Arabidopsis thaliana: one gene and its partner. The protein of the gene in region 1 binds, or shares a complex with, the protein of each later gene. Each region holds a gene or a part of one and is shown in the gene's direction. Other genes may lie near its edges.

Region 1 (5,725 bases):
GGAAAGGCATCTTACCTCGATTATTTAGTTAATGTTTTGCTTCATTGTTTGGAACAGCCTCCCCCACCGGTTAATGACACCAATCCCTATAATGTGTTTAGGCCAAGGGAGAAAGTTCACAGACTCCACACAAGAAGGGTAGGCTGTCTTTTTTATGCATGTGCGACATTTTTTCTATTAAAATCCAACTGGAGAAAGAAAAATAGTGATAAGGCTTTACTTCATCTTCAGATGCAGAGGAGAGAAAACAATGTGCAGTCATTTGAAAAGCTTCGACAGGTGAGTGAGGCACCTGAACCTTTATGGTTCTTTAATTTCCTGAAATCTGAGCAATTTACGTTTACAGTGCCTTCTTTTAGTTTCTCTCTGGACAACATTGTTTTTTCTGCTTGTTAATGATCTGTTAGTGATTCTTTTATGGTTTTCTATTGGATTCTGAATACATGGGATATGTTATTATCAGGTTAGACGCAATCTAGGCCAAGCACAGAGCATTCTGGAGGCTCTCATTAAGGTGTTCTATATGACAGTTTTAGTGTTTATCTTAACAAGCGGATTGCATTCTCCAAAGTTGCTAATTTGATGTTACCCATTCCGTAGAGAGAAGAGAAGAAGAGGGATGTCATGGACAGTGAGGTTAGCCTTCAGAGAATCCAACTCCAATACAGGGTACTTACTTCTACTTCCTCTAAAACTCTCTGTTTTCCGTTTTCCGGGTCTAAAATTGTTTTTTTTTTTGCAGCATGAAACAGAGCTCTTGGAAGATAGCTTGGCTATGCCTGGATTTCAACCCACTACAACATCATACAAATTTGGCTCAAGCGATGATGAACTGATGGACTCTGATGATCACACCAGTACTCGTGTACGTACAAGACCTGCGGTTATTCCTAGTTCTCGTTTCACCAACTTAAATCTGAATGCATCTCATCCCGGAGGCATCAAACAAGAAGTTAGAAGACGACAGTCACAGCATGGATGGCTTCACAGACTGGTAAAACCTTCTCTTACAACACCTAAGCTCTCTCTAGCTACTATAATCAATCATTTAAGCAAACCTGTAATGATTTTGTTCCTTAGGATCCTAATGAACCGGTAATGCTATTCACAAAACCGCTGGTTCCCGATAAACTGGCAGCTGCAGGGATTGTTCCTCCAACACCGGATTCATCACCAGGTCAACCTCCAAGTCGGTTTCAGGGGAGGATTGGGCGTGGTGGCCGAATTATTTTCGATAGATGGAATCCGTTGATGCAATCTCACATTAATTGTGGAAACTCTTATTACATTGCTCCAAATCACCGGTCTACCAACTTCGATTGAGATATTTTCACAATCTTGCTTTGTAAAGAATTTTCCATCACCAATGGTGTATGCAATAACGATTCTCAGCTAAATAAGTTTTAGCACTTTGTAACTAACTGGTTATTGTGTGTATTTCTGTTTATTTTCGGTTAAGGAAAGAATCTGTTTAATTCAAAATCCGGTTCTATCGGCGGTTTGGAAAACCAAAAACTATTGTACCAGGGACCAAATTGTAATAATATCTTCAACTCAAAGGACAAAATAGGATTTTAGGGCTCTTTATTGATTTTAATCGGAAGTTCAGGTTTGCTCATCAATCGCAGTGAAGAAGGAAGGAACCTAAATCGGAATTTGGGTGCTCCATCAATGGCTTCGATTTTGGCTCGCAGGTCACTGAATACTCTCCGTGCTCGACATCTCGTATGAATCTTGTTCGCTCTTGTTATTTCTTCATTTTGTGTCCTTTAGTTAGAGTTATTTGAATGCCTAGAAATGGGAATGTCTCCTGGAGTTTTGGGAGCTTAAGATGATTCTATTCACTCTCTGTGTTTTGTTTTGTGTCGACGAGATTCTGGATTTTATCTAGCTGATCGATGAAATCATGTAGGGAGATTTGAATTTGATCATGGTTCATCTTAAGGGCTTTCGTTTTACTTATGGTTTCCTTATTCTTTTTCGCATTTAATTTTTGTGACGAAAGCCTTTTCGCAAGTCAATTTTTTTTTGTTTTTTTTTGCGAGCTTTAATCCTTTCATTAGCTTGATATGGTGTGTATGTTCTGAATACCTCTCTGATTACTTCTCGACATTGATAGGTTTTGTCAGGGCAAGCTTTACAGGGATCTCATCTGTCTAGACTGCAGTCCCGTGGTATATCTTATGGCAGCAACAAAGGTATATTTTCTGCTCTTGTTTGGTTTTCTTTGGTAAATCAGGTTTAATTGTGAATCTACCCCTTTTCCAACTTGTATTACGAGATTCTGATTCATATATGACTTATGGTTTGCGTATGTAATATTCAGATGATGAAGAAGCAGAGCAACTTTCTAAGGAAATCTCCAAGGACTGGAATACTGGTAATCCATATGATCTAGACAATTTTACTTTTTTTCTCCTTTCTTCTTTTCTTGTACGTCTATCTTCCTTGGTGTTTTCCTCCCCGAGTATTAGTGATTCCTGATATTCTCAAATTTGTAGTCTTTGAACGGAGCATAAACACCCTGTTCCTCACAGAAATGGTCCGCGGTTTGTCGCTGACCCTCAAGTACTTCTTTGATCCAAAAGTTACTGTGAGTGATATCTTTTCTAGTCTTCCAAACTTAGATTGAAAGAAATCTGTGTTACTGAAGCTCTTTCGTGTATGCAGATCAATTATCCATTTGAGAAGGGTCCTCTGAGCCCTCGCTTCCGTGGTGAACATGCTCTTCGAAGATATCCTACCGGGGAAGAACGCTGCATTGCCTGCAAACTCTGTGAAGCTGTGAGTTTTGAGATCGATATGAATCCTTCATTTAATTTAACGTTCTCTTTGTTCTGATATGGTACTCTGAGTCTATCAAATTCATCTTAGTAATTAGGAAAGCTATTTGAGTATGAGTAATATTTACTGTTTAGTCTCTAGAGTTCTGATGAAATGGTCATATTAGCTGACAATGATCTATTTAGTGTGTATAAAAGTTCACCACGGATTGTAATTCTTGTGAGGGATACTTGTCCTTTTCATCAGGTATGTCCAGCTCAAGCAATCACAATAGAGGCAGAAGAGAGGGAAGATGGAAGCCGCAGAACCACTAGGTCATCATCCCTTTAGTTCTCATTTATCAACCATCTGCTTTCTTTATTACCCTTTCATGATGATTTGAGCTGTATCGTACAGGTACGATATCGACATGACAAAATGCATCTACTGTGGTTTCTGCCAAGAAGCTTGCCCCGTTGATGCAATCGTTGAAGGACCTAACTTTGAATTCGCAACCGAGACACACGAGGTCTGTTTTTCACATTTTCTAGACCCTAATAATTTTCGAGGCATGCTTATTGAAATTTTTGTTATATTCTCTATGATAGGAACTTCTCTATGACAAAGAGAAGCTTCTTGAGAATGGAGATCGATGGGAGACAGAGATTGCTGAGAATCTGAGGTCGGAGAGTCTCTACCGCTGAACCATTCTACAACAGTCTCTGCTTCATTCAACTTGTTTTTCCCGGGGAAACATTTTCGTTGCTTCTGTTTGAAAATAAAGACGAGATCATATGCGTGTGAAAACTCTTTTGTAATCCAGATTTTGTGCTGTGTAATTGAATTGTTTGTAACCAACCTGACTTTGATTTTCGGTTCATGAGTTCCGGTTATTAGGTGTTTTCGGTTCGGAGAAAGAGCATTTAATTTGGTCAAAGACTGAAAACAGATAAGTCTTAAGCTACAAGGGTATATCTGTACATTAAGAAATATTTGATCGGACGGACAAGATCATGTCTTTTTTTTTTTTACGGCGGACGGACAGGATCATATGCTTATAGTTTATCCTAATCTGTCCGATCTAAACATAATGCTTGTCGATTTTTTCATTTATTTGCCTTTTGGTTGCGCCAATTATCGTATTCAGACAGCAAAATTAATATTTTAATGTGTATTTTTTGTTGAGTTACTATTTTAGAAAAACAACGAATCCCTAGAAAGGAAAGAAAAAAAAAAACAAAATCCCCAAATCGAGCGAGTCCAAAGAAAAATCCCAAATTCGACGAACCTACAAGCCCAGAACATCCCCCGATTTGGGAAAACCTGAATTCATTCGCTTTTGATTTGCCATCTTCTTTCTGGGATTTGTCTACTGCTTGATCCTAATTTCTGACCTCGCTTTTGGTTTGAGTTCACACGTGCCGCATCGGCTGTTCACCGGCTTTGTTTCATTGTGCAGACTCCAATCATCGTACAATCTGTAGCAACCGGTTGGTCTCCGTCAAATTTCTCCACTTTGTTGCCAAATTTTACTCCTTTTTGTATCAATTCAAAGATTGGGGGTGAATTTTTAGGGTTTATCATTTTGTTCATTTTTGGTAACTATTTTGGGGTTTAATTACTTCTTTAGTTGATACTATGATTGATACTATCTCCCAATTAATATGAGATCAAATTGTGACAATTTCAGTTCTCTGATTACACCAAGTTTTTTTAGCAGGACATTCTCTAAGGTGCTAAATCAGGAGATGAAATTTGGATACTGTGACTTCTGGAGGAGAGGAAAGTTATGCAGTGTTTGTTACTGTTAATTACCAGAAGAACTAGGACAAGGCGACGGAGACTGAAGAGGTAGCTATGAATGTTCAGGCTCACATGTCGGGGCAGGTTTCAAACCAAGGGACTATGTCCCAGCAAAATGGGAACTCCCAAATGCAGAATTTAGTTGGTGGTGGTTCAGCTCCTGCTACTGGTGCTGGTTTAGGACCTTCACGCGTTTCTCCCGTTGACAATGACATCTTGAAACTTCGGCAGGCTATGCGAATCAGGATGTAAGCCTTTGCTTTTCTCAAGCTTTTGACTTTGGTGTCTTCCCACCATTTTGCAGTTATATTTCCTTGCTCTTGTTATACGGCTATTTATTTTGGATTGGATTCAATATCTCCAGTTTATCGCCAATCAAATCCGTGTATTTCTCTTCTTTCTTTTCAGTTTCAATATCTTACAGCAAAAGCAACCATCTCCAGCTGATGAAGCATCAAAGGCTAAATATATGGATGTTGCTAGACGCTTAGAGGAGGGGCTGTTTAAAATTGCTAACACAAAGGTATTTATTTAATATACTTAAGGAAAGGATAGGCACGTATTTGGCATTTAAAATTTTGCCACTAGATCCAGCTTGTTGGCTAATGTCCTAACTTGAAATTTCTTGTTAACGTGCTACACTTCCATTTTGAATCGCAGGAAGATTACGTGAACCCGTCAACCCTTGAACCTCGGCTGGCAAGTCTAATCAAAGGCAGGCAGTTAAATAACTACAATCAGCGACACGCTAATTCTTCTTCGGTTGGAACAATGATACCCACTCCAGGATTACAACACAGTGGTGGGAATCCAAATTTGATGATTACTTCCTCAGGTGATGCTACAATGGCTGGAAGTAATAACATCACAACTAGTGCTATGAACACTGGAAACCTGCTAAATTCTGGTGGCATGCTTGGAGGTTCTTTCACTACAACTTATATAAAATATGGGCATAAAATTTTCTGCGCATATTTTTTCTGAACACCTTTACTTCTCTTTGCAGGTAACCTGTCTAATGGATACCAACATTCATCGAGTAACTTTGGTCTTGGGTCTGGAGGGAACATGTCATCCATGAGCTCCCAGAGAAATACCGGCCAGATGATGCCTACCCCTGGATTTGTCAACAGTAGTACTAATAACAACAGCAATAATG
Region 2 (5,126 bases), on another chromosome or scaffold:
ACGGGAATGCTAAATAAAGAGAAGAGCAGGTATAAGAGAACACTAAAACACTGACCTGAAGGGCAAAAAATTTGGTATGCGTACTACTGGTGTTCTGTAGAATGTGAACAACTTGAAGCCAAGTATCAGGATTAGCTTTCAAATCCCGCAAGATATTATCCGCAGAAGCTCTCTGCAAGGTGTTTTCAAACATTCTTATCTCATTGAAAGCACACATATGCAAACATCGTTTTTACACACAAATTACATTGTTTAGTGTTTTTCCAGATAACAAGAACAGCCACAAACAATCGAAACCTATCTCTAACCCAGGAAAAAGAATTAAGCAAAACTCATCCAATTCGTATCGCAAATACTAAACCCTCGCCTAACCCCCAAATCGATAGAACGCATTAACAGTGAATAAGAGACCGCTTAATGTGGTGGCGATACTCGTTCATCGTTAAAATTCTCAGAGAAATTATGATAAACAACGGGACTCACTTCTTCCTTAGATCCGGTAGAGTAAAAGGCCTCAACAGTGGCATCGAGTAAAACGACGTCAATCGGCTGACTCAAGTCTCTTAACTTCTCGGCAGCCATGGCGGAGAGGATGCGCAAATTCTAGAAGAAGAGACTCGATACGAGAGTGAAATCAATGGAGGGAGACAAAGTTCGAGAGAGAGGGAGAGAGTTTTTTTTTGGGTAGAGCGGTACGGAGGAGAGGCAGTTTAAATATTGAGAGAGGTTTTTGAAAGACAGCTTAAGATTGACGCAGGCGACGCTGAGAAAAAGGCCTGACTTCTAATTTTGTTTTCTCTTCTTTTTTTTTCGTTGACCGCCTCAGGGTTTGAATTTGTATACTCTACAGTCTACGCTACTCAAATATTTACTAGGATTGTTTATTTTATTCAAAGATTTACTTTAAGGAAAGATTATTATAAAATGAAATGCAATCATATAGATTAATCAAATTTCCAACACTTTTTGAGGTTTTACAAAAAAAAACATTATTAAGTTTTATTTTTAAATAAGCTATATTCAATCACTAAGTTGTAGAACTTTATTATTTTTATTTAATGATGTTCATTATTAGATTTTGTATGATATTATTATATAAAATAAAATTGAGTGTTTTTTTTTTTTTTGGATTTATGTATTTATGTCATATTATTATGTTTGCATTAATTAATTAATAGCATTTTCCCCAAATATTAACTTTACTTTCTTTCTTTTTTTGAACACGGAACTTTACTAAGTAGTAGTATTCATTTGATCCCATGAAATCTAAGCTAAGGAGTAAGCTTGGAAAAACCTTAACAATAGGAGATCTATCATTATATTGAAATCGAGTTTACCATTCGTGAAGATATGATTATAATACGTTGTGTACTCTTAGCTTGTAAAATGGCTAATGGGATTTACTAAGAGAGGAAGAGAAGTGAACTGTTAATGTTATGATCATCAAATGCTTTGAGGAAAGTGGGAAAAACAGATTTAGCTATGAAGCTAATGCATAGCAAATTGGAATGCGTAGTGTTAAAACTTAAAAGGCCTTTTTTTTTTTTTTTTTGGGTTTTATAATGCGTAGTGATTTCCTTTTTTTTGATAACATATACAAAATGAATTTCCTTTTTTTATTTTTGAACAACTCCTTATGAATAAATACACATCATCTCTTCTTATTCACTGAGAAATCAAAATTACAACCCTATGAATGTATGATCTAATGCTTTGAGGAAAGTGGGAAAAGCAGATTTAAATCTTGTATTTCTTGATATACCAAATCATAGTAGAAAATGTATATTCATATGCTTCTCTGCCACATCATCATGGGGAAGGCCATAGCGAGCAAGTGGCCCAGGTAAACACAAAGCGTAGCCCAACAAATACAAAACGATGCGTTTAGCAATCGTCATCATGTCCCTTGTTATTTCGACAACGAAATCAAATCCCGATTCCGAGAGAGAGAGAGCGATAGCGGAAGACGATGGCTTTGACGGTGGCGAAGAGTGCGTTGGAGGCGATTAGAGAGAAAGGTCTCGGCGGTTTCATGAGGATGATCCGAGAAGAAGGCTTCATGTTAGTTCTCTGTCTCTCTTTTCCAATCTCTCTTCCTCTGCTTAATTTCTTCAGGATTATACCCTCGATTTCATTAGTTAGATCCCAAATAATCTAGAAATTTACAAGAATTTTCGGTGTTTGTTGAAGTTTGTTTGCAATGAATGGTTATCATTCTTCGGTTTTTTTCACTCAAATGTTAAATTTTCTTGATGTGAAATGAAAATCAAACACTTTGTTTTTGGTGAACATCAATTTTGAACGGTGATGGTGATGCTTGAAATTGGCATAATGTTTCTGGTTGCTTATAAGTCTAAGATCTTATTGTTTGTATTCCGAGGTAATCACTAGTTTATGGAATTTCTCTAATTGCTTCTTTCAATTTTTTTTCTTCATTGCAGGAGATGCCTACCAGATGGGAACCTCTTGTAAGTAATTTATCTTTGATAATTAGTGCTTAGTGTTTCACTTCTTTGTGGATTACGAATATGATTCAAGTGGTTGTTCAAGAGTTCTTTACAGACCAAGTTCATTTTCATATTCTTATATGTGTATGTTGTTGTGTGAGCGAACATAATTTTGTCAGATTCATTATACTGTGAACAGAGCTCGCCAATTCTTGAACAGCTTACTATTCTTTGACTTGGACTGCTGATAGATGTTATGTTAGTTGATTTTGGAGTTCAGTAAAGAAACAGTGACAGTAAATGATGGTTGGTATTCCAGAGATAGTGTAGTTACATGTTTGAAGGAATTGACAATATTATGCCATAAGGCTATTCAAGTTGATGAGGAATAAGAGCTCAAAGATTGGTGAGGCCTGTTAATGGTGATGAAATTGGCCTACAAAGTAGTCTTGAAACTTGAAAGATCTTAAGAGTCAAAATTTATGTGCCTCTTTCACCAAGTCTATAAGCTGGATTTGTCGTTCTCATAGGCTCTAGATAGTTGGTGCATTTGGCTGAATATAGAGAACCTTTTCCTCAGATCATTTCTTTATGCGTAATATACATATAACATATACTTAGTGTTGCTTCTATGTTGTGTATTGAGATGTTGGAAGCATGTATATATGGGTCACATAGTATATACACAGTATGCTTGAATATTGTGTCTTATTAATAGTTTCCCCATTCTTTATATTGTAGCTTGCTGTTGAGTCGTATTTTCTGATCAATACTGTTTTATTTCTATATTTGATGAAGGCAAACTAAAATACATAACATAGGAGCGACACTTGTTGGTGTTGACAAGTTCGGTAACAAATACTACCAGAAGCTAGGCGATACTCAATACGGTATGTAGTTCCTTTAACTTCATGTTTTACCTATATAAAATCATGCTTTAACCTAAAAAAATTGATGCCACTGTAGGATTCATGATATTTGTTACTAAATATTCAGGGAATAACCCTTTTAATATTGACTTCAAATGTTTGTTTATTCTGAGTGGTACAGTCATGGAAATTGTAGCCACTCACTCAGCATTTGTTATTTGTTAGCTCACTGCATGTATCTTAATAGAATGTTTAGTCAAGAGGCTTTTACATTGAAACAAGCAATCACTTTGTGAACAGGTAGGCACAGATGGGTAGAGTATGCTTCAAAGGATCGTTACAACGCATCTCAAGTACCAGCTGAATGGCACGGGTGGCTTCATTTCATCACTGATCACACTGGCGATGAGGTAAAACCAAGAGCCATTTCAAATTCGCTGTCTCGTTCAATCAATAGATAATATATTGCCTTGTAACTTGATAATAAATACCAATGTCTCTGTTTCAAGCTCTTGAGTTTGAAACCAAAAAGGTATGGGCTTGAGCATAAAGAGAACTTCTCTGGAGAAGGTGATGCATACATCTACCATTCGAAGGGACATACCTTGAACCCGGGACAAAAGAACTGGACTCGGTACCAATCATGGGTACCCACCAAGACTCAGTAAGAAGATGATATTTTGGTTTTACGCTCTGCGAGACTTTCTCTCGAGTGATTTGTTGTTTTGTTTCTGTGTCATTTTAATAAAAGCTGTCTTGGATCTAAAGCTGGACAATTGGGTTTCGGATCTGGAATTGTAATTGTTACTGTGTAATAATTTGCTGATTATTAAGTTTCTTGTTTCTTCACCTCTGGCTAGGAAAGTAGAAAAGTTCTAATAAGTAGAAGTATTTAAAAATATATTAATCAAATAACTTCATCGAGAAAAATATCTTTCAAGATTTTTTTTTTCTTCGAAAATCTTCAAAGAAAATTGAATACAGAGTTTATGATCTAAAAACAAAAAACAAAAAAAAAATCTTCCAACAAAATCTTAATACTATTAATACATCTAAATGAGAGATTTTTCCCAAAACGGATTATGATAACCAGATAAATCGAACGCAGTGCCAGCAACAAAACGTTTTTAATGGTAATTAAAAATTTAAACGAGATCAGCACCACGTTTTTTAATTATCCTTCTTCTGTCGTTTTTATGGTCAACTTTGTTATAAAAAAAAATTATAATCTTTCTAAACAAAAAAAAACGAAACTGGAATTTTGATTAACAGAAACATCCAATATCAACATTTAATTGGTTTTACAATTTAAAAACAAAAAGGGTTTCACAGTTTGACTCTCTCTATTTATGCTAACACACTATTAAGACTAATTTCCTATTTTTTTAATTGAAAATCAGAATCTTAATTTGAAATTAAGCTCCGACTATTTAAAGCTTGTCCACTGTTCCGTTAACATCTATAATCACCCTGGCATACATACTTGTCGTCTCCCTTCCTCACGTTTCTCTCCTCTGCAAATTCGAAGCTCCGTTGAGCTCGAATCAGAGAAGTAGCTATTTCGTACAACCCCAGAACGATATATTTTTTTCTGGGTTTCCTTGAACATACCACACTCACGGTCACGGGATCCATACCAAGCTTCCGTAGCCATGGGGTTTGATCCCGAGAACCAATCGATCTCTTCCGTTGGACAGGTTTCGCTTTTCTCATTATCGTCTTCTTTTCCCCATTCTTCTTTCGGTTTAGGTTTCCGATAGCAAATTGTACTGATTTTTGTTGGTTCTTCTCCCGGTCGGCTTTGAAGACT

Evidence for each region.
Region 2: the proteins of AT1G79010 (region 1) and AT3G03100 are in contact, whole or in part, in a cryo-EM structure (PDB 8BEE), measured with the Arabidopsis thaliana proteins. Residues at the interface, in NP_178022.1 of Arabidopsis thaliana: Pro90 (codon at 2,582), Val92 (codon at 2,588), Thr93 (codon at 2,591), Ile94 (codon at 2,671), Asn95 (codon at 2,674), Tyr96 (codon at 2,677), Pro97 (codon at 2,680), Phe98 (codon at 2,683), Glu99 (codon at 2,686), Lys100 (codon at 2,689), Gly101 (codon at 2,692), Pro102 (codon at 2,695), Leu103 (codon at 2,698), Ser104 (codon at 2,701), Pro105 (codon at 2,704), Pro181 (codon at 3,260), Phe183 (codon at 3,266), Glu184 (codon at 3,269), Arg206 (codon at 3,414), Trp207 (codon at 3,417), Thr209 (codon at 3,423), Glu210 (codon at 3,426), Glu213 (codon at 3,435), Asn214 (codon at 3,438); in NP_566192.1 of Arabidopsis thaliana: Asn38 (codon at 2,461), Leu39 (codon at 2,464), Gln41 (codon at 3,247), Thr42 (codon at 3,250), Thr68 (codon at 3,328), Gln69 (codon at 3,331), Arg72 (codon at 3,619), His73 (codon at 3,622), Arg74 (codon at 3,625), Trp75 (codon at 3,628), Val76 (codon at 3,631), Glu77 (codon at 3,634), Tyr78 (codon at 3,637), Tyr84 (codon at 3,655), Ala86 (codon at 3,661), Ser87 (codon at 3,664), Ala91 (codon at 3,676), Glu92 (codon at 3,679), His94 (codon at 3,685), Gly95 (codon at 3,688), Leu97 (codon at 3,694), His98 (codon at 3,697), Phe99 (codon at 3,700), Ile100 (codon at 3,703), Thr101 (codon at 3,706), His103 (codon at 3,712), Leu108 (codon at 3,826).

The regions. Positions count from the first base shown.
Region 1 is NC_003070.9:29,722,880-29,728,604, reverse strand, and holds AT1G79010 (Alpha-helical ferredoxin), read left to right. Parts: upstream 1-1,576; 5' UTR 1,577-1,671; coding exon 1,672-1,725; intron 1,726-2,119; coding exon 2,120-2,198; intron 2,199-2,326; coding exon 2,327-2,380; intron 2,381-2,501; coding exon 2,502-2,593; intron 2,594-2,670; coding exon 2,671-2,784; intron 2,785-3,030; coding exon 3,031-3,098; intron 3,099-3,180; coding exon 3,181-3,292; intron 3,293-3,371; coding exon 3,372-3,467; 3' UTR 3,468-3,809; downstream 3,810-5,725. Other genes in the region: AT1G79020 (Enhancer of polycomb-like transcription factor protein), read left to right, coding at 58-138, 232-279, 464-514, 601-669, 743-994, 1,081-1,323; HAC1 (histone acetyltransferase of the CBP family 1), read left to right, coding at 4,621-4,814, 4,975-5,089, 5,227-5,488, 5,573-5,725. UniProt on the Arabidopsis thaliana protein: Core subunit of the mitochondrial membrane respiratory chain NADH dehydrogenase (Complex I) that is believed to belong to the minimal assembly required for catalysis. Complex I functions in the transfer of electrons from NADH to the respiratory chain.
Region 2 is NC_003074.8:704,422-709,547, reverse strand, and holds AT3G03100 (NADH:ubiquinone oxidoreductase, 17.2kDa subunit), read left to right. Parts: upstream 1-1,850; 5' UTR 1,851-1,969; coding exon 1,970-2,061; intron 2,062-2,441; coding exon 2,442-2,468; intron 2,469-3,245; coding exon 3,246-3,337; coding exon of another isoform or gene 3,338-3,341; intron 3,342-3,616; coding exon 3,617-3,726; intron 3,727-3,825; coding exon 3,826-3,984; 3' UTR 3,985-4,167; downstream 4,168-5,126. Other genes in the region: XPO1B (exportin 1B), read right to left, coding at 56-172, 484-582; VGT1 (vacuolar glucose transporter 1), read left to right, coding at 4,969-5,013. UniProt on the Arabidopsis thaliana protein: Accessory subunit of the mitochondrial membrane respiratory chain NADH dehydrogenase (Complex I), that is believed not to be involved in catalysis. Complex I functions in the transfer of electrons from NADH to the respiratory chain.